2 linked regions of the Canis lupus familiaris genome follow. The protein of the gene in region 1 interacts with the protein of each later gene in a pairwise test. Links are inferred from orthologs where the notes say so. Each region holds a gene or a part of one and is shown in the gene's direction. Other genes may lie near its edges.

The links.
Region 2: the proteins of BMX (region 1) and PTPN21 interact in binary tests that used the Homo sapiens proteins (3 or more experiments, as listed by UniProt). The link is inferred for Canis lupus familiaris from reciprocal best matches to the Homo sapiens genes BMX and PTPN21.

What each region holds. Positions count from the first base shown.
Region 1 is NC_049260.1:11,780,929-11,791,927, forward strand, and holds the start of BMX (cytoplasmic tyrosine-protein kinase BMX), read left to right. Parts: upstream 1-5,838; 5' UTR 5,839-6,049; coding exon 6,050-6,052; intron 6,053-10,999. UniProt on the Homo sapiens protein: Non-receptor tyrosine kinase that plays central but diverse modulatory roles in various signaling processes involved in the regulation of actin reorganization, cell migration, cell proliferation and survival, cell adhesion, and apoptosis.
Region 2 is NC_049229.1:60,038,782-60,049,287, reverse strand, and holds part of PTPN21 (tyrosine-protein phosphatase non-receptor type 21), read left to right. Parts: intron 1-292; coding exon 293-1,713; intron 1,714-6,170; coding exon 6,171-6,308; intron 6,309-7,458; coding exon 7,459-7,680; intron 7,681-10,506.

The sequences.
Region 1 (10,999 bases):
CGTTGTCGATCAGACCCATTGTTTGCCATCTTTTGGAAGATTCTGCTTTCCTCTGATCATGATACTTCCAACAGTATGTCCCGTTAGACATGTCTTCTGCAATGCGACTTTGATACTCCCTCCATCCCAAGTGGCTTTTCCTTCTCTTCCTCCTGAGTCTAGGCAGGGCTGGTGGTTGCTCTGACCAATACCATACAGTGCAAGTGACACTGTGCCAGTTCTGGACGTGGCTCTGAGATGGCCTGATGGCTTCTGCTTGCTGCCTCCTGGGAGCAGCTGCCATGTGAGAGGAGCAATGGCTCTGAAACCACCTTTCTGGGAGACGCCCATGCCAGGCGAATAAGACATGAACACCCAACTGCATCTTTCCCAACTTCCAGGCCCACAGAACTATGAGCAAAGAAAAAGCGGTTGCTTTAGGCCACTCTGCTTCTGGGTCATTTGTCTCGTGATACTAGACAAATGGAAAATATACTTTCATGCAAGAGGAGAGGAGGTGGGTTTTTAGAGCTCTCTGGACTAAATAAAAAAAACACTCTTATGAAGATTTACTCTTTTAGAACGTGGCTGTGTCCATTTAGATGTTGTTACCAAGGTGACCAGCCACCCGGCAAGCTAAAGGATTATTAAACTTGAGAGAGCAAAAGTGGCATGCTCCAGGCCATCGCAGTGACCCTGGGGGTTCAGGTGTCCTGAAAGGCTCCTCTGTTACAAGGAGCATTTACAAGGAGAGCTTTGCACTAAAAGGAAGCAGGAGAGAAGGGCCTCACTGTCCGCTGTTACCCACTTCCATAGTAGAGTTGCAACACTCTTGGGGACGCTTTCAGTTTATCACCTTTTCAGAGTTTCCTCTGGGACTCAGAACACCCTCCACCTCCGAAACCGAAACAGGAGCCCAAGCTTCTCTTTCCTCTTGTCTTTGAGAGGCCGGTCATGGGTGCAAACTAAGTCCGAGGCTTGCGTTGGTAGGGCAAGGCACGGAACTCTCTTTGCAGACCCCGTGCAGGAAAAGAACAGGGCTGAAAAGCTAGGAGACCTAAACTGAGGACAAACCAAGGTCAGAGAGGGACAAGTGTTTTCAAATGGAATACGGGGCATGGAACGTTCCGCTAGAGGGGCCCACTTTGGAGATGAGAAGTGTGACCCTGTATGTGGAACTTGGCACACTTTTCACCCTAGTCATTGGCCATCCAGATGGAGGTGTCCAACAGGCAGCTGGACATATTAGTGTGTACTTAGATCACCAATGGCCCTCAGGCTCCTGGGAAGCATAAAAAAAGCTCTGTGCCAACATGACAGCAAAGAAAGCCTTCCCTAAATGATTCTAAGTAAAACCACTATAATATTTAAAGGCACCCACATTGTCGACATACTTTATTTGAACTTTTTCCTCAATTTATTTTTCTCTTCTGTTTGACTTATTGATTTTTCTTCTCCAAGGTACATTTTATGTAAATACACAGATATCTTCTATATTTCATCATTTCCATGTTCTCCTCGTAGCACGCAGCTCAAAAATTCTTTCTCACAGATTGGTCAGGTATTGGTAATCTGCCTCCCAGAGCATTGTAGCGGCCATTCATTAAATGACAAATGCCTTTGGAATATTCCAAGTTAGGGATTCAGACTCACCAAACCTAGGAAATCCATCGGCTCCAAATCAGACACTGAGTGTTTTGTAAGCATTAGTTTACAAAGGTCATTAATGTGCTGGTGGTTGAGGACATCCACATACATCCAACAGAGATGAGGATAAGTGACTCCCACTTCCACCCTCGTGAGAGCAATCTGCACAGACCAGGTCTGTTCTAGCACCCAGGCTTCTGACCCAGAAGCTACATGTGATCAACCATTGATTGCATGAAACTCAGGACTGTGTTCCTATCTTTCCCATGGGTTTTTGGCAGCATTCCAGAAAAAAAACAGCTTATGACCCTCTCTTTTGAGCCACAGAAATTTCCTAGAATTCAACACAAGCAAAATGGTCTTGGCCCTGAAAGGCTGATTCATCTCTGAACCAAGGAAGTAGAGAAAGGTGAGTGATGCCCCTGATACTTACCTCAGTTACCCTGCTAACCTTACTCAGTTTCTGGCTTTTATGTGGTCGTGTCTTCTGGGTAAATGGAGACTGCTTTCAAGACCACAGAATTGGAGTTAAAATAAAAGGCTAATTTGACTTAACCCCTCTAGGTAATTAACGTTAGGATGCTGAAGTGTTCCTGGATGAGGTGTACTGGTGTCTGCAATTTCCTTTGAATGCACCAGAAATAACAACAATGATCAGAGTAGTAGTAGCAGTAGAAGCAGTAAGACCAATAAAGGAGGATTGATGGATGGATAGAGAGATGGATAAACACATACAACAAAGCAAGTAGAGCAAAATCTAATTGCCCAATCTAGATGGCAGGTGTATGGGTGCTCGCCGTACAATTCTTTTACCTTTCCTGTATTTTGAAATTCCTCATGATAAATTTCTGGGAAAGATAATTTGAATCAAAGTGGGAATCATGGCTGGAAAGTTTCCATAAAGCCACCTCCTTTGCCTATTTTCTTCACTTCCAACTCTGGCACCATGTACACAGTATGATTCAGTGAGCGTCTGTGGAGTTGGGCTGTCGAATTTAATTCCAATCTACTAGGTCATTTCCACAGCTGGCAAGACTCTCCTAGAGCATGAGTTGGCAGTTTTTTTCTGTGAAGGCCAGATAGTAAATATTTGAGACTTTGCAGGCATACGGTCTCTGTTGCAACTACTCCGCTAGGCCGCTGCGCACAATATATAAGGAATGGATGTGGCTGTGCTCCGATACATTTTACTTACAAAAGCAGGTGGTGGTCATAGTTTGCCAACTCCATCTTGGGCCCCAAATCCCTCCACTAAAAAAAAAAAAAAAAAAAAAAAAGAGGGTAAAATTGATAGCGTGCCAACAGGCTCTGTAAAGATTTCATATGTATCAGGATAGGTCCTAACAAAAAGGAACAGCAAAACTTCTCATGTCTACCTCTATCCCCCACTTACCCATCTCCTCTCATAAGAACCAAGTCTAATTGCTCCACCACTGAGCCTGAGGTTTAATAGGCAAGCATTTCTAGGAGAGGTGATACCTTAATGTTCCATCCCAATAAGTGTTGACTGTTCACATCAGATCCCAACCTCCAAGGAGATCCTCTTACCATCAGGGGAATACATGCGAGAGGTGATGGAGTGGCATCCCCGGTGAAGAGATTCCCATGGAAAAAGCTCTGGGTGCAGAGAGATGCCCCCAGGACTTACTCTTTAAAAAGCGGAGACAGACATTAAAAGTAATAAAAAAGAGGATCCCTGGGTGGGTCAGCAGTTTAGCGCCTACCTTCAGCCCAGGACGTGATCCTAGAGACCCAGGATTGAGTCCCACGTTGGGGTCCCTGCATGGAGCCTGCTTCTCCCTCTGCCTGTGTCTCTGCCTCTCTCTCTCTCTCTCTCTCTGTGTGTGTGCGTGTGTGTGTGTATCTCTCATGAATAAATCAATAAAAATATTTTTTTAAAAAGTAGTAAGTAAGTAAATCATGTATCAGGTTTTAAGGTGTTAAGTGCTGTGGAAAAAGACAAAGTAGGGCAGAGTAAGGGAGACTGGCAGTGCTGGGTGGAGAGAGGTTGTAGTAGTAAACAAGGTGGTCCAGGTAGGGCTCATTAGGAGGATGCCATTTGAAGCAAAGCCCAGAGATGAGCAAAGGAACCAGGCAGACAGATGTCTGTGACAGTTTGCCGGGCAGAGGAAACTACCAGTGCAAAGGCCCTGGGGCAGACAGTGCTTAGAATAGTGTAGGAGTAGCGAGGAGGCCAGCTTTAGGAGAATCATGATGAGATGATGTTAGAGACCGCACTCCGGGACCAGAAAAGGGGGGACCAATGGAGAGTTCAGACTGGGCGAGTGGCAGGATTCGAGTCGCTTGTGAAAGAATCGCTCTGGCTAGCCAGTGGAGAACAGACCTCCAGGAGCAAGAGCCGAAGCAGGGATAGCAGCCAGGAGGCAGGGGCGACATTGCAGGTGAGGGATGGTGGCGACTTAGACCAGCAAGTAGCAGTAGAGGTGGTGCGCGCGCTCTCTCTCTCTCTCTCTCTCTCTCTCACACACACACACACACACACACACACACACACACACACACACAATGGATCCTTTCAGGTTCTTTCTTAGCTAAAGATGAGCGCTACTCCTCCCAAGTGGACAAGCTTGTTTACCTCAGGAAGTCGAATTATCTCCTGCATCCCTGCAGAAGCTCATCGCCTGTTAACGACTTGCGTGAACAAGCTTTAGGGAACATTCCTAAGGGTCTCACCGGGTACAGGTGACCATGTAGGCTATAACTGGAACAAATTAAATCATGTGATCGAAGCAGCAGGTTGCCAACAACGGGTTAGAATCACACTGAAGGCACGGAAAATGCCTTCCAGAGCCAAGGGAAGGTTGGGGCGAAGCGGCCGAGGAAGGGAATGAATGGAGTAAGTCAATAAATCTATGACACTTGACTCGGAGGAAGCCACCCCTCCCTGCTGCCCTGGAGTCTCTCAAGGCCCCAGAAGGGATGGGGATCCTAAGAGACTGTGCCCAGGTGTTTCCAGGGCGCTACCACTACCTCCTTCCCCACCCCGAAATTGACAGTCCCTTCTAGAATTGGTCTCCTGCCAGGGGACCATGTTTAAACAGTGGAGTTAAATACACATCGCAGAGCGTAGCATCAACCCATGTGGCCAAGTAGCGGCGCCACGGTCCTCGGCTTCACCCCGAGTTTCTGGCATGACTGCCTACTGCCTTCCCAGAGCCCGAAGAGCTACTGGGGCTCCAGCCGCGACTCATTTGCTCTCAGGGTGTAAGCTCCCCTCTTGCGAATTCTTCCGAAGGGCTCTTTGCCCCTTCCCGAACCACGCGGGTTTCAAGCAGAAACGTCAACAGCGCCTCGGCCAAGCTGTTTTCCACGCGCTCTACTCAGCTAGACCTTCCCTTGGGGTTCTCTGCCTGCAGCCGACAGAAGGCCCTGGAAGGTGCGGGCTGCCCCTGCCCGGCCTACTACGGTCTGCAGCCCCTCACGGAGCCCTTGGCACATGGTAGGTTCTGGGCAGGACGCGTCCGCTCAACAGACCACCCCTTGGAGAGTCGGTAGCTTCGCTCCCCGCGGCCAGCCCAAGATTTCATCACCCCATAGATGTTTCCAAATAGGCTCACGTAGCCGACCACGTGTGAGTTGATACGGCGTGTCCCTGCATAGCAGAGGGATGATGGGGGGGGCGGTTGGCGGTGGAGAGCAGAGCCTCGAAGAACTCAGTAGACGTATTACAGATGGCCCGTCAGTGGGGACCGGAGAGGAGGGTGGCACGAGGAGGGCCAAGAGAGGTCATACTGTCCTGACGATGTCCAGGGACTCACGCTCCTTCACCGCAATCTGGGTGCCTGGCACGTTAGCCAGAGCGATCCCTTTTCCACTTGGGGAGTCCCTGAATAATTGTCCCATGTGTTCCTTTTCGGGCACACTGCCGTCCTTCTCTGCCACCCCCCCGGCCCCCCTCCGGCCAGCGGTGAGCTGCAGTGTTCATTGCTTATTCTCTGCGCTCTTTGGCGTTACCTCATGGTTTCCTGGCTCGTGGGAGAAGTCAGCGTCAGAAGCGGGCTTTTGCCGAGCTCGTTTCTTGTCCTTCCCAGCGCAGAGCTCTCTAAACAAAGGCAGGGTTATCGCACGAACCCGAGGGCTGCCCGGGAAAAGCAGGCGCTGTGGTTATCAAAATTGGAACCTTTATGAAACACGCTTTTGTCTCCGTTTGTGTTGCATTCAATCAGATCAACAAGTGTTGGCTAAGTGCTGAGCGTGGTTTCCTGTGGGATTGTGTAAGGCCCTTGCAGGACAATAAACGTTTTGGGGGCACTGAGTAATGTAGCCATTTCGGACCCAGCCGCCGGGAAAATGTGAGACGGTCCGCTGCCGCTGGAAGGAAGGAGGGCAGCCGCGCCTGTGTGCGTGCAAGAGCAGACTGACCCCTCGGCGGTGGACCCCCGGCGGCCGATCGAGAGCCACAATGGTGCGTTGCAGCGGCAGGTGGCCACACGAGGTCATAGCCGACAGGCTGACAGGTTCAGAGTGATGCATATGACGTTGCTGGGGCTCCTCCGGGGACTTTGGATGAGACCGTGTAATTGGGAGGCCCGCTGCGGTTTTACTGTCACCCCCCCACCCCCACCCCAGCTCAAAATCTCGTTCAGGGGAGCTGTCAGGTGGTGTGTACACGGCCGTGGGCTCCAGCCAGCCCCGGGTGCTTCCTCTGCTGGCTTTCTCCGTACTACTCTGCAGGCATTGCCCCTCCGTGACTTTGCATGTTGGCTTCCTAACTGCTTCCGAAAAGCCAGAGAAGTGTCATTCTGACCCTCTTTTATTTACCTGGGTTTTTATGCTGTTCGTTTCACTACGAGTGCTCGTTCTCAGGTTCCTGAAGTCTTCCAGAGTCTGGGGTTTCGGGGTGGGGGTGGATTTTAGGTGGTGATGGGAAGATGGGGCAGGTGAGCCTTTCGGTTACGGTCACGGCCAGATACCTTAGAAAATTCTTGCAGCCCACGGTAATTTCACTGGGTTTAAGAAGTAGTACAAGGGTATCGTGGTCTAGGGCAGGGCTTTCCAAGCTTTCATGAGCACGTGAGGCGCCTGGGGACCTCGCCAAAATGCAGATTCCGATGCACCAGGTCTGGGGGGGAACTGAGGGTCTGCGTGTCTCTCGAGCTCCCGGGCCACGCTGATACTCCAGTCCACGGACCACTCCTGCAGTAGCAGCCACGTATCACTGATTTGGAAAAAACCTAGTGGCACAAAAACACAGGCGGGAAGGGGCTGCTTCAACCTGATTCTAAGGAAAGCAGTCCCAGGATTGAAAGCTTGTACCAGACGCACAGGGCAGGTGCTTGCTGACAAGAGAGTGCGTGGGGCATCTTCCTGCCTCCCGTGATCGCCCATCCCCAGGACCCGGGTAAGAGGGGTGAAGACTGAAATATTATCCTCGAGGGTCATTTCATCATCTTGAGTTTTTAACTTTTCCTATGGTCCTTTTTTTTTTTTTTTTTTTGACTTTACCTATGGAGTGATGAGGGGAAGGGGTATAGAATTTGGGAACATCTGCGAGCGTGCTGGGCATCCTACTGCCATCTTCTCTTGACTCCTCAGAACCCCTCCAGGTGGTTACTATTTTCCTCCCTTTACAGATGGGGAAGCTGGGCTTTAGCAGGGCTGAGTGACATGCCGGGGTGCACAGAGATGGAACAGGGATTTGAACCCACCATCTTGGTGCTTTTGCCCACACCAGCCTGTATCACCCAAAGCAGTGCTGTGTGTTACTAATTCAGCATAAGGAATTAGGACATGGATTTATCACTTGTTGCTTTTTTCCTAACCACCCCATAAGGTGACTGAATTAGGACATACCCCACAGGATGGTGTGTGGGGGGGTGGCCTACCCCTCCCCCCCGCTGGAGTAAATGAATGCATATTTTTAAGGTGCTTTAAATAGTGCCCGGCACAAGGCAAGTCTTCCTTAAATGTCAGCTAGGATCATTATTGCTACCATCACTCATATCCTTCAAGACCTAGTTTTAACACCCTTCCTTCCATAATGTCTTTCTTGATTATCTTAAGAAAAAAGAAACAACTCTCCTTCCCTGGGCCTTTCGGGGCAAAGAGAACATGGACTCTGCTCTAACATTCGAGTTGTTTCTTTCCCCCCTCTTCTTTTTCAATCGTGGTTCAGCGCCCAGGGCGCACCCAGAACGTTTACATAAGCTTTCTCATTCAAGCCCCAGAAAGTGAGAGAGCTGTATAACCCATCTTATCTTACAGATCCGGAAAATTGAAGCTTAGCGCAGGGAAGGGGCTCGGTCGGGGTGACCCAGCTCCCAAATGACAGTCGTGTAAAGTCCGCCACGCCTTCTGAGTCCACCCTCCACCCCCAGCCTCCGCCCCTCCAGCCACCCTGCACGTTAATTAGGTATGAGACCCATCTCTCGGGTCTGCTCCTTGTCACCCGGGCAGTGGAGAGCTGATCCTCTCGGTTCTGGAACCACTCACTCGAGGTCCGGCCCGCCGCGGGCTCAGAATCGAGTGTGCTGGGCCTGCAGGGTTGAACTCCTTGCTCTCCTGGTCACGCTTCCTTACGGATGCTCACCAATCCTGGTGATTCCAAGTCGTGTTAATTTAGCATTCACCTTTTACTTATGTGATAGGTTACCTGATGGTTGCTGGCATCCTTAGAGAAAATGCTATATTGGTTTCTTTTTTTAAAACCTAAAATTTGTTTAAAGATTATTTATTTATGTATTTGAGAAAAAGGGGGGGAGCACGCACGAGCAGGGGGCGGGGCAGAGGGGGAGGGAGAAGCAGGTTCCCAGATGAGCAAGGAGCCCAACCACCGAGCCGGGGACTCGATCTCAGGACCCCGGGATCATGACCTGAGCCGAAAGCAGATGCTTACTCGAGTGAGCCCCCCAGGCGCCTCTACTATATCGATTTCTGCCAGTTTTTTTTGTTTTGTTTTGTTTCTTTGTTTTTGCCTCCCCTCACTTTAATCTCCTTCTAGTTTCATGTGCTTATGGAAATGGGCAGCCCGCCTATTTGGTAAGCAAATTGATGTGCCTGTTTCATGTAGACGGTAATGTGAGAGCCCAGCCAAATTCTGCCAACTTCTCTATGGAAATAGATTTCTGGCTAATACCACCAGCTTTAGGATCTCATTTCATTTCAAAAGTTTTGTGTGGGTTTTTTTTTTTTTTTGGTTCTGTTTTGTTTTTATCTTCCCACTGAGTATTCCTTAGGCATGGGTAGGCAGAGCCGAATTTGCTAGCTGTTGGACAGGCATTTGACTCAACAGTGGAGCCTGTTGACTTATTGTCCTAATACAGGGAGGAAATATTATGTTTCTAAAAATTAAGCATCACCGATTACCTCTTCCTGTACCAGGGGAGACCTTAAGAATGCCTTCAGTTTAGAATCTAGGCTGATGTAGCAGAAGAGAGAAGTACAAGGAAGGGAGAGAAGCAAACAGAGGTAGAAAGGCTGGAGCCAGGTACTGTCTTAGAAGAAACTGATCTGGACGAGACAAAACGTGAGTCATCAAAACGGTGTTCTTCAAGTTTGTTAGGAAGCTCCGGGGTCCAGCTGAGGGAGTAGAAGTTTGAAGGTCTCCAAAGACATGTGTGTGTTACATGAGAACAGGGGCGCCTGGGTGGCTCAGTGGGTTCAGCATCTGCCTTTGGCTCAGGTCATGACCCCAGGGGCCTGGGATCAAGCCTCACATTGGGCTCCTTGTTCAGCAGGGGACCTGCTTCTCCCTCTGCCTCTGTCTGCTGCTCCCCCTGCTCGAGCTCTCTTTCAAATAAATATTTTTTAAAAAGGCGGGACTTTGGAATGAACAACTTTATTGAAATTTGACAGATTATATCGCATCGGATGCAACAACATGCATAAAGCCCTGGAGACTTACAAGAAAATGTGCTCAAGGACTTGCTACTTTTCCTGTCTGGCCAATGTTCTTCCCTTTAATATACAGAAGCAACTTTGTGAATTTCATTTGTCAACAGTTTCTGTGACTCACCAGATTAATTTTTAGATAAAATCCCCCCAAATCTTTAATGCAATGAATATAAATGTTCTATAAACAGAAGTGTGTGTATGATCATGCGGTACTGGGACAGTTTGCTTACTATCTGGGACGTTAGGATTTGCATTTTTTAAAACGGTGCTTTTAACGTTATGAGTTTATTCAGTACCTGACAAAGTTTTGAAGAGTAAACTTTCTTTTTCTTCTTTTCTTTTTGAAAAGTAAACTTTCTATTCAACTAACCAGATCTATTTAACTAGCATTCCGCTTTGAGGAGTCCTGTTCTAGCAGTGGATATAAAAGACGTTTGATAAAAGTTTTCACAGTTTTCTTTATACCCTTTGTTAGTAAAATTTTTAAATGCAGGGATGTAAAAGACAAAAGTATCTTAAAACTTACCACAAGTGCCCAATGTGGTATGGCTCCCCCAAAGGGGAATGTACCTCAAAAAAACTAGACCCTCCACAGTTTCAGTAAGTCTTCAAGGAAATTCTCTTCCGGCCATAGACTTTGGATGTAGAAAATCATCTTCTCTGAACAGGCGCATTTGTAGAGTTTCTAACGAAGACGTGTTACCTGACTTCCCAGATCCTGCTGGGTTTACCTAAGCCCCCCAGCCTCTGCCCATCTTTGAGTCTGGAGGCCAAGAAACCAGTGACCACGACAAATAGCACCCACTGTGCTCAAAAGAAATCCATTCTACTTTCCCAAAGGATTTATCCTTTTTTTCCTAGATAAAACAATGTTCAAAACAAAAAGTAATGGATAAGATTTGTAATGGATAAGATCTCCATTACTTCTGCCTCTAAATCAAATGATGCCCTTGGAGAACATTTGAGTCACTTCATCTGTATAAATAATGAACATAAGCTGATTTTCTTGATTCCTGTTTCTAGAATGTTATGGTCTACATCAGGAGGGAAGCTGGCTGGACTTGACCATGGTTTATCCAATGTGTCTCCCTTCCCTCCCTCTTCCCTGCCATTGTAGGCCTGTCACGCTCAAGGCCAGTGAGAAGTGACTTTTAGTGATTGGACAGGTTCACGTACCCCCCCACCCGCATCCACACAGAGCAACGCCTATGTGGATGCTTCCGGATGGAGAGTGATAAATAGGATGCAAATATCTTCTTTGTAATGCGTGATCCTGGCATAGCCAGAGGGAATATGAGTACCTCAGAGCAGCAACTTTTGGCTTAGAGCTTGAGAGTTGAAGTTAAGGACCCATAAGCAAACTCCAGCTGATCCTGATTGAATGCAAGGTGAGTAAAGTTAATGACATTCAGATTATCAGTAAACAAAGAGAGGTAGAAATTATTGAACATCTGACTGCTAGTACTCATGTGATTTCACAAAGTGAAGAAAACATAGGAAAGTTTCTCTCTTGTGACCT
Region 2 (10,506 bases), on another chromosome or scaffold:
ACAGATTGGGTTCATCTTTACTGGGGGCCAAATCCTGAAATACCACCCTCAGAGTAGGCGAGCCATCACCATTCTGTAGATAAGGATGCCGGGACTCCAGGAAATGAGACGCCCACAGTCGTTCAGAGAGTCTGGGCAAAGCCAGGTTATTTCTGCATGGAGTTTTGTAAGCAACACTGAAAATGTCATCAGCTTTCAGGGCCTATCTCAGTGTTTGCCCAGAGTCATGGGTCCGATTCATATATCTTAAAATCACATTTAAAAATACCTCTTAAATGTGTTTGTTTCCTAGACAACCTCTTTGCGACCAACCAGAATGGATACTATTGTCACTCTCTGACAAGTCTGGATCGAGCCCAGATTGACCTCAGTGGCCGGATCCGAAACGGCAGTGTATACAGTGCCCACAGTACCAACTCCCTCAACAACCCGCAGCCCTACCTGCAGCCCTCCCCAGTGTCCTCCAACCCAAGCATCACCGGGAGTGACGTCATGAGGCCCGACTACGTGCCCTCGCACCGGCACAGCGCGCTGGTCCCCCCGTCCTACCGCCCGACCCCGGATTACGAGACGGTGATGAAGCAGCTCAACAGGGGAATGGTGCACGCCGAGAGGCAGAGCCACTCGCTGCGAAACCTCAACATCGGCAACTCGTATGCCTACAGCAGGCCCGATGCGCTGGTCTACAGCCAGCCAGAGATTCGGGAGCACGCCCACCTCGCCTCCCCGCAGTCGGCCCACTACCCGTTCAGCCTCAACTACAGTTTCCACAGCCCGTCTCCCTACCCGCACCCCGCCGAGCGACGCCCGGTGGTGGGTGCTGTCAGTGTGCCCGAGCTGACCAACGTGCAGCTGCAGGCTCAGGACTACCCTGCGCCCAACATCATGCGGACGCAGGTGTACCGCCCGCCGCCGCCCTACCCGCCCCCGCGGCCGGCCAACAGCACCCCGGACCTGTCCCGCCACCTGTACATAAGCAGCAGCAACCCCGACCTCATCACCAGGCGCGTGCACCACTCGGTGCAGACCTTCCAGGAGGCCAGCCTGCCGGTGGCGCACTCCCTGCAGGAGGTCAGCGAGCCGCTCACGGCCGCCCGGCGCGCGCACCTGCACAAGAGGAACAGCATCGAGGTGGCAGGGCTGGCGCACAGCCTCGAGGGCCTGCGGCTCAAGGAGCGCACCCTGTCCGCCTCGGCCGCCGACCCGCCGCCGCGGCCCGTCTCGGCAGGCTCCCAGCCCGGCGGCTTCCCCGAAAGGGCCGAGCGGGACCAGGCGGACGAGCGGGGAGGCCTGGCCTACGGCCACAAGAAGTCTCTGTCTGACGCCACCATGCTGATCCACAGCAGCGAGGACGAGGAGGACCTGGAGGAGGACGTGGCCTCACTGGCGGTGCCTCTTCCACAGGCCCGCGCGCCCCGAGGCCGCCACTCCCCGGAGCCACCCCCACCGCCTCCCCCCGGCCCCTCCCGCGGCCCCGGCGGCCCCACCCCTGCTGCCCTGGGCCAGGGTGCCCTGCCAGGCCGCGAGCCCGTGCCTCTGCTCAGGGAGGCCCACCGACCCCGCAGAGAGGGGCTGCTCACGCCCTCCATGTCCGAGTCCGACCTCACCACGTCGGGGCGCTACCGAGCCAGGAGGGACTCCCTGAAGCAGCGGCCGGTGTCGGATCTCCTCTCTGGAAAGAAGAACGTCGTGGAAGGCCTTCCGCCGCTAGGGGTAAGCCAGTGGCGCTGAGGGCGCCAGGTGCGCCGGGTGAGCCAGGTGAGCCAGGTGAAGCAGGTGAGCCGAGGGCGCCGAGTGTGCGCCTGTGCCCCGGCGGGCTGCACTCTGCGAGCTCTCCTCATCCCCCAGGCCTCACACCCACACAATTTCTGTCGTATTTGGAACACTGAGTCTGATCGTCTATGGAAATAAGGGGATCCGTTAGCATTCTAGTAGTTTTGCTGGAGATCATTAGTGAAAGTGAAGCTTGGGATGGAAGTGGAGGGCAGGAGGAAAGGGCCTGGCGCTGCCGTGTTAAGGAAAAGGAAGATAAGACGCAAGCCTGCTCTGTTAGTGACCTGTGAGAAACCCCGTGGGGTGATGCAGCAGGGCGGGGCTGCATGTCTGAGAAGCACCCCCCAACGCAGGTGTTGCTGGTGTCCGAGTGTGTGGGTGCAGCTTGAATTCACCTGGCCATGATCTCTGAGGGTCTCACAGTGATCTGGAGCTGGGAAAGTGGCACTTTGTCCGGACCAAACACCTGAGAACTCTCAAGTGTCTTTATTTTATTATTTTTTTTCCAAGTGTCTTTAGAAAAAAGATTCCTTGGAGAAAATGCAGCTCTTTGATTCTCACGGTAAAAGTAACCAAGAGTTACGACTTCCTATTTATTTGGGGCAAAATATAAAAGCATAACATCACCTCTAGCTGCCATTCCTGGGGCATTTTTACCATGTTCTGAGACGCGTCCAGCTTACAACAGGCCTATTGTTTCTTGGGAAGAGAAAACAGACTCTGAGATGTTAATGTAGCTTTTCCAAGGTCACACAGCTAGTGGGTGACTGAACTGGAATTTTAAACCCGTGTTTATCTCTGCACCCTACTCTATCATATTTTACACTGTTCTACACTGAGGTATATTGTATATAATGTTTTATTAAGTAGCTATTGCTTATCTCAGCCTTGCTGTTTTCTCTCTTTCCACCCAAATGTTTTGAGTCACAGGCATTGGCCAGGCATGTGTGCCTTTGTCATTTAAGTGCGGCTCCTCCAAGTCACCTTGCTGCGTTGCTCAGGCCTCTGGTTCCTTGCTGCCCGTGCCGCCGTGCCGGGAGCCCCGCACTCTAACCAAGCTAACACGCTTAATTAGCCGATCCAGTTCTCTCAGCGCCCTGGCAGGGAGGACTCCTCCCCCACCTGATAGTCTGCATACTCAGGCTTGAGGACCCATCACAAGCATAGTATCTTCATAAACTGGAAGAAAACTCACAAATTTTGCAGTGTGTAGAGGTAGACTGAGACCCCTTAAAATAGTGCTGGGGATTTAAAAAAAGCCATGTTTGCTTTTGATGAATTTGGGGCTTGAACTTTTAAGTTTATTTTAAATTTTTCTTGGGATTATATTCTTCCCTACCTGAACAGTAAAGACCAGTGTGTCTCAGGTCGGGTGGAGTGGAAGGTATGGATCCTGATCAACTATTCGGGGTGGGGACAGGGTGTGGGTGTGTCTCTGAAAGGTAATTCTACCTCAGTCCCTGAGCCAGCTGGACAGGGTCCTTTTCATTTTTTTTATTTTTATTTTTATTTATGAATGATAGTCACACACAGAGAGAGAGAGAGAGAGACAGAGACACAGGCAGAGGGAGAAGCAGGCTCCATGCACCAGGAGCCCGACGTGGGATTCGATCCCGGGTCTCCAGGATCGCACCCTGGGCCAAAGGCAGGCGCCAAACCGCTGCGCCACCCAGGGATCCCTTTTTCATAGTTCATAGTAGTTTCCCTAATCACATCAAGAACTGTCCATCTTTGTTTGTGTGTGTGTGTGTGTGTGTGTGTGTTTAGAGAAAGTGTGTGAGTGGGGGGCAGGGGGAGAGGGAGAGAGAGACTCTTAAGCTGGCTCTCTGCCCAACATATGGAGCTTGATGTGGGGCTCCATCTCACCCCCCTAAGGTCATGACCTGAGCTGAAATCCAGAGTCAGACGCTTAACCACCTGAGCCAACCAGGGGCCCCAGAACTATCCATCATTTTTATGCATGACCAAAATATTTTTCCCAAATGACATTTGTTTTGAGTATAGTCCACTATTCACACATATGGTCCCTGTACCTTTTGAAGGGGATGTAGCAAGATCCCCCAAATCTGAGGCTTTTGATGAGTTTGGTTCTCTAAAAGGACAGGTTTCGGGGATCCCTGGGTGGCTTAGCGGTTTAGCTCCTGGCTTCGGTCGAGGGTGTGATCCTGGAGTCCTGGGATTGAGTCCCACATCAGACTCCCTGCATGGAGCCTGCTTCTCCCTCTACCTATGTCTCTGCCTCTCTCTCTGTCTCTCTCTGTATCTCTCATGAATAAATAAATAAAAATCTTAAAAAAAAAAAAAAGACAGGTTTCCTCCCTCGTTGACTTTAAGCCACAGTATTAGTACAATTTTGTGATTGGATTATGCTCTTGCTCCCTTTTTCAGCATAACATATTCTCCTTGCTTGAAGAACATGTATGGCAGCTGTGGCTCTGGGGAAAGGTATAGGACCTAAGAGTGGAAGAGCTTGGGTCTGAGGCTACACCCTCCCATTTATTAGTTCTCTGCCCCGTGGGCTGGACCCAGCAGCATCAGAACCTTCTCTCCCTCTGTAGCAGGGGACTGTCACCTCTGCCCTGCCTGCTGTGTTAAGTCCCACCTAAGGTTAGGCATGAAAAACACTTTGCAGATTCTATGATGGAACATAGATGACTCTAAAGAAAGGTTTTTATTGTTTTGACACTGGTTGCCATTTATAAAGAGGTGGCTCTGTGACCTTGGGCAAGCTGTTCCGCCTCTCTGACTCCTTTACTTATTTGTCACGTTTTCTTATTTGTGAGGGAAGCTGACCCCAGAGAGTTGTGGGCGAAGTGAGGTCGAAGTTAGCTTGTACGTGAGGTTGTCTCCTACTGACTTCCCAAGTACTGAAGAGCTCTACCCCCCACCTCGCTAAGCCCCTGGGCCTCCTCATAGTCCCGTGGGGTTGCCGTGACCTTCACTCTTACGACCTTCACTGTTACTACAGACGGACTTAGTTTCCATACTCACATGTGAATTAAGGTTATGGGAGTTTAGTATTAAAAACAGTGAACCAAGTTGCAGACAAGCAGAAACACTTTAGAGTTCTCCACCCGTCTCCACTCCCCGGAACCTGATTGCTATCTGAAAAAGAGTGGGCTGGTGGGAGTGCTCCCACAGCCTGGTACAGATTTTGCTCCTGTGCTCGCTGGGTCCCGGGTGGTGGTTCTCACAGAAATCACAGCGGGGCAGCGCCCTGAACCCTTTGGGTCCACCATGCTCCAGGGCGGTGCTGCTTTTGACTGTGTGTGCCTTTCTTCACCCACTGGCTTTAGACCTTGGCCTTCCAGCCGGCATGGTAGGGCGGCCCTCCTGACCTCATTCTCAGGCGGGGGGCAGCTGGAGCCACCTTGTCCTGGCTGGCTAGAGCTGGCTTGAATTGTCAGGAATCTGGCGAGCCCCTTGATGTTCCCTTGGCAGCTTGAGTATTGGCATCGGGGAAACTGGCCAACGGGGCCAGTCAGGACCCTCCCTCCCAGAGCCCCCCACCAGTTGTTAAACAGCAGCAAACCAGGGTTTTCTGCCCAAGTCAGAATCGTGACAGTTTAGCCCGTGCAACAACCTCTCCACCTCCCCTGCCCGGACTGGTAGAGCTGGGGTGTAAAGCTCATTTCCTTTGTGAGACGTGAGAACACCCTGTCACAGCACTGTGGCAGTTGCTGTGGCCCCCCGAGGAGGTGTGGCATGTCTGAGGAGACTGCGCCTTCTTGGGCTCATCTGCCGAAGAGAGGAAGATCATTACCTATAGTCACGTTAGGAGATGCGCATCTCCAGGAGACAGATGCCCTGTCCTGTAGCCCATCTTCCTGGCGTCACCATGGAGATTTCAGTCCTCTTTGATTTTCCTAATTAAAAATGTGCCCGTTCTGAGAGGTGTCACCAATCCGACACAGGTCCCACCCGTCAGAACAGAGAGCAACCACAGAAAACACTTCATCTTTTCAGAATGACTTAAAAGAACTAGGTTATATATTTTTAAAATATCACAAAAGCCTATTGCAGTCACGTAACTTCGTGTAAAACCCATTTTTTGTGGATTGTCACTGATTTTTGTGCGCGTGTCACGTGTTGAAATTTGGGAGTTCTATGGAGGAATGCTGCCTGCCTGGAGCCGCACCTTTCGTTACTACAGAGACTTGAATTGTATTTCAAAATCTTCTATCTGCAAGACTTATCAGGGCTTTGGCCTTGAAAGGAATGTCTTCTTCCCAATGTTTGCTAAACAAATGTGCGTGTGGAGCGTAATCTCTCCCGTGCCTGTGGGTGAAGGAGAACACTCCTTCCCTTTGTTTCAAGTCCTCAGTACCCTGAAATTGCCTTTCAAGGGGGTTGTATTCGTGTATATTTCATATATACATATATAAATATTTTTATAGGGAATGAAGAAGAGCCGGGTAGATGCTAAAAAAATTGGTCCTCTCAAGTTGGCTGCCCTAAATGGACTCTCCCTCTCTCGACTGCCTCTGCCAGATGAAGGAAAGGAAGTGCCCGCCAGAGCCACCAATGACGAGAGGGTATGTACGAGACATATGGATATACTGGTATGCTTTCTCTGGAACGATCCATAAAGGCCAAGTGCCTTCTTGAGATTTTAGTCACTTTGCTAATCTAATCATCGTAAATGAGTGTTAAGGCATTTTATAATTTGGACCTCAAAGTTGGGACAAATCTAATATGTTAGATAATTTTAGAGTAAATGTCGGTTCTGTTTGTTGGTTTCTGAATGTTCTTTACCTTCTTCCAGCCTTCTGCAGCAGTCTTGATTTTTTGATAGCTTTTCAGTTTAGAGGAATTCTACAAGTACACATGAGTACACACAGGAAAGAGAACACTGATTGACTGCTTTCGTTGTACTGAAAATTCATCTCAGGAGTAAATAGTTCCCGAATTTTTCACGACTTTCTTGGTAACCAAGATATATTTGCTATGAGGTTATATTATATCAAAATTAGGCATGAAATAATGCTAAGTAAAAATTAATTTGCTTACAACTGGATCCTGGAGATAATTTCAGTATTAACTCTTTTTTTCAGTTTCTGTATATCATAGATCAGAAAACAAACAGAAGCCTTTGTTCATAGAGGTTGGAATTGATTCTCCTACGTACGCTAGGACTTACCGTTCTCCAGGAGAATTTTCTCTCTCTCCTAGGAGTCACAAAATTGACCATAGATTTAGAGAAAATTAATCCAACCAATTATTTTAGACCAGTTTTCACTTTTAAATAGAACTCTGCATTCTGCTTCTCACCAACAAGGTGCTTTCATTTGTTATTTTAACTCTTAGCGTTACAGCTTATTAAAAATTTAGCTGTGGTTTCACCTAGAGTTTTCACTACTAGATAATGCTAGACTTAAAGTGGGAAGACAAGGTTTCAGATATGCCATCAGAATGCAGTGTGGACAGGGACCGCCTGGGTGGCTCAGCGGTTTAGCACCTGCCTTCAGCCCAGGGCATGATCCTGGAGACCTGGGATCGAGTCCCACGTCGGGCTCCCTGCATGGAGCCTGCTTCTCCCTCTGCCTGTGTCTCTGCCTATCTCTCTCTCTCTCTCTCTCTCTCTGTCTCTCATGAATAAATAAATAAAACCTTAAAAAAAAAAAAAGAGAGAATGCAGCATGGATATAGGACAATACTGATCATCCCATACATTCTGTTTTACAGTGTAAAATTCTGGAACAGCGGTTAGAACAGGGAATGGTATTCACAGAATATGAAAAAATTCTTAAAAAACGGCTGGTTGATGGGGAGTGCTCAACAGCACGACTCCCTGAAAATGCAGAAAGAAATCGATTCCAAGATGTCCTTCCCTACGATGACGCCAGAGTGGAGCTGGTCCCAACTAAAGAAAACAATACGGGCTACATCAACGCGTCACATATTAAGGTGAGAGGAGCGAGCAGGGCTACAACAGGCTGTGAAGTTGTGAGTTCAGCTACAGGAATGATGAGAACTGTATCCACGTCTATGTTCTAAAAACAGGCTAGTTGGAACCATTGGGACAAATTATGTTATTAAGCTGGGAAATCCATACACCTGGCCGGGTGGGAGGTGTTTTACCAATAGAGCCAAAGCCGCATTCGCCCTCCCACGTGCTAAGCCCTGTGCCCCCCACACTGCTGCCAGGAGTCAGGGAGCACTCTTTGGCCTGACCTGAGGACCTTAGGACTTCGTTCTTCTAAATCTAGAGATTTCTTTCTGGCCCATCGATTATCTCCAGAGTGGCAGAATGGCTAGTTTTTCGTGATCACATACCTGCATTGATTCTTATGTGGCAAAGATGTCTGGGTATTTTGGTTTTTGTTTTGAAATTATTTGTATATATAATGATATATTAATTATTAATATATTATTAACATATTACAATATATAATATGTTAATAATATATATAAGTATATATTTATATTTATAGAGCACACGTGAGAGAGAGCACACACAAACGTGCGTGAGCAGAGAAGAGCAGAGAGAGGATCTTTTCTTTTTTTCTTTTTTTTCTTTTTTTTTAATATTTTTTATTTTTTATTTTTTTTTGAGAGAGAGGATCTTGAGCAGGCTCCATGCTCAGCACAGAGCCTCGACTTGGGGATCAGCTTCACAACTCTGAGATCATGACCTGAGTCAGAACCAAGAGTCTGAGGCTTAATGTACTTAGCCTCCCAGGAGCCCTGTCTGGGTGTTTTTAATGGTGGTCACCAAACCTTTTCCGCGTGTCGTCTGTTCTCTTTGCATCATTCTTGTCATCACTAATTTTTTTTTTTTAAGATTTTATTTATTCATTCATTTATTTATTTACTTACTTATTTAAACATGAGTGGGGGTGAGGGTAGAGGGAGAAGCAGGCTACTGGCTGAGCAGGGAGCCTGACTTGAGGCTGGATCGGGACTCTGGGATTGTGACCTGAGCCGAAGGCAGCCGCTAAACTGAGCCACCCAGGTAGCCTTCCTGTGATCATGTTTTGTTTTGTTTTGTTTTTTTAAAGATTTTATTTATTGATTCATGAGACACAGAGAGAGAGGCAGAGACACAGGCAGAGGGAGAAGCAGGCTCCATGCCGGGAGCCTGACGTGGGACTCGATCCTGGGTCTCCAGGATCACACCCTGAGCTGAAGGCAGCGCTAAACCACTGAGCCATCCTGGCTGTCCTGGGATCATGTTTCAATATCGTTTTTGTTCTTTGTGGAAGCGGTGCCGCTTTTTCCCGAGGGGCAGTGTGATGCCATTGAACTGGGGTCATGTTACACCCATTAAAATGGGAAAAAGTGATGATTCCCACCTGGTAGGTGAGGGAAACCAGGGGCTCTCTCTTCTGCATCATTGTACATTTTGCATGTGCTGCTTGGAGATACAGTCCTTTTATTTTGAGAAGGAGAAGCTTCCTTGTTGGGAGTGAATGAGGAAGTATCCATGGTCAGGTATCTATCTTCTTGCCCACATCTTATTTCATTTGCAAGTGGTATCTGATGAGCGCAGTTTCACACTCGCTTTCAGAGACCTGGCAGTCTGCCTGTGGATGCCAGTACCCTTCATGGTCTTTGGGAATCTGCATGTGCTTTTTAATATGGGTATAGGGGCACCTGGCGGGGGCTCAGTTGTTGATCATGTCATGATCCTGGGGTCCTGGGATCGAGTCCCGCATCGGGCTCCTTCTGCCTGTGTCTCTGCCTCTCTCTGTGTCTCTCATGAGTAAATAATATCTTAAAAAAAAAATAATTTGGGTATAATTTATTTAAAAACCAAGCATTTCTGTGGAATAACTCATCCAGCCTCTTGTGACTGGATGGGTGAGAACTGAATCAAGTTGTCCTGTGTGGGTATTGCAGAAGCTACCGAGGTCAGCTGAAGAGCATGGAAGATGGCCAAGCCTCAGAGCTCCTAGATCTGTTACCTGTCAGCATGGGGCTCCCTGTGCTTTCCTCTGAATAAAGCGCTGACACCTCCCCTGGGGTGGCCCCAGACCCCCACCCACACCCTGTTACTCACTGTGGTGCTGGTAGCACCGAGGGAGCCCCTCTCAGTGAGATTCCAGCCGGTGGCCCTGAATGAAAGTATGGGCAGAATAACCCAGGCACTGTGGTCACCAACATGGGGCGGGGGGGGGGGGGGGGGGGCGGTGGGCTTTAACCCAATCTCCTGGCCGTAGATCCAGCAATGGCTCTGTTCCCTTAGACTGTCCTCAAGGGGATGCAGCCTCAGGTGGAAGCTTAGTGTCATTCTGGAGGGTGACCTTGACTTAGAAGTTCAGAGGGGAGACCACTTTCAGTAGGAGTATTTTTTTCTGCCCCAGAAATCTGGCATTTAACCTCGGTTTTGGCTGGATTGTTACTACTTTGCCTACTGTGTTTAGTACTTCATGAAGGGAAACTGTGTTTGAAATTTAGGATACTGTTATGGTGATACTGTTTTTCTAAGAAGAACCGTAACAGCAGCACTAACAACTGTGTATGGAAAACCTATTGATGTGCAAGCACCTTATACACTGACTAATTTAGTCCTGCCAACCACCCTATGAGGTACAGGACATTTTTATCTTACACATGTGAATAGAGAGAGAGGTTAAGCAAATTGCCCCAGGTCATGTAGATATGTGAATTTAGAGTCCATACATTTATAATCCGGTAGTAATAGGAATTGTATTAACAAGGAAAAAGAATAAGAGAAATCTTTATTCTGAATAACTCATTTTTTAGTACCACCATAAATGAATGTGCATA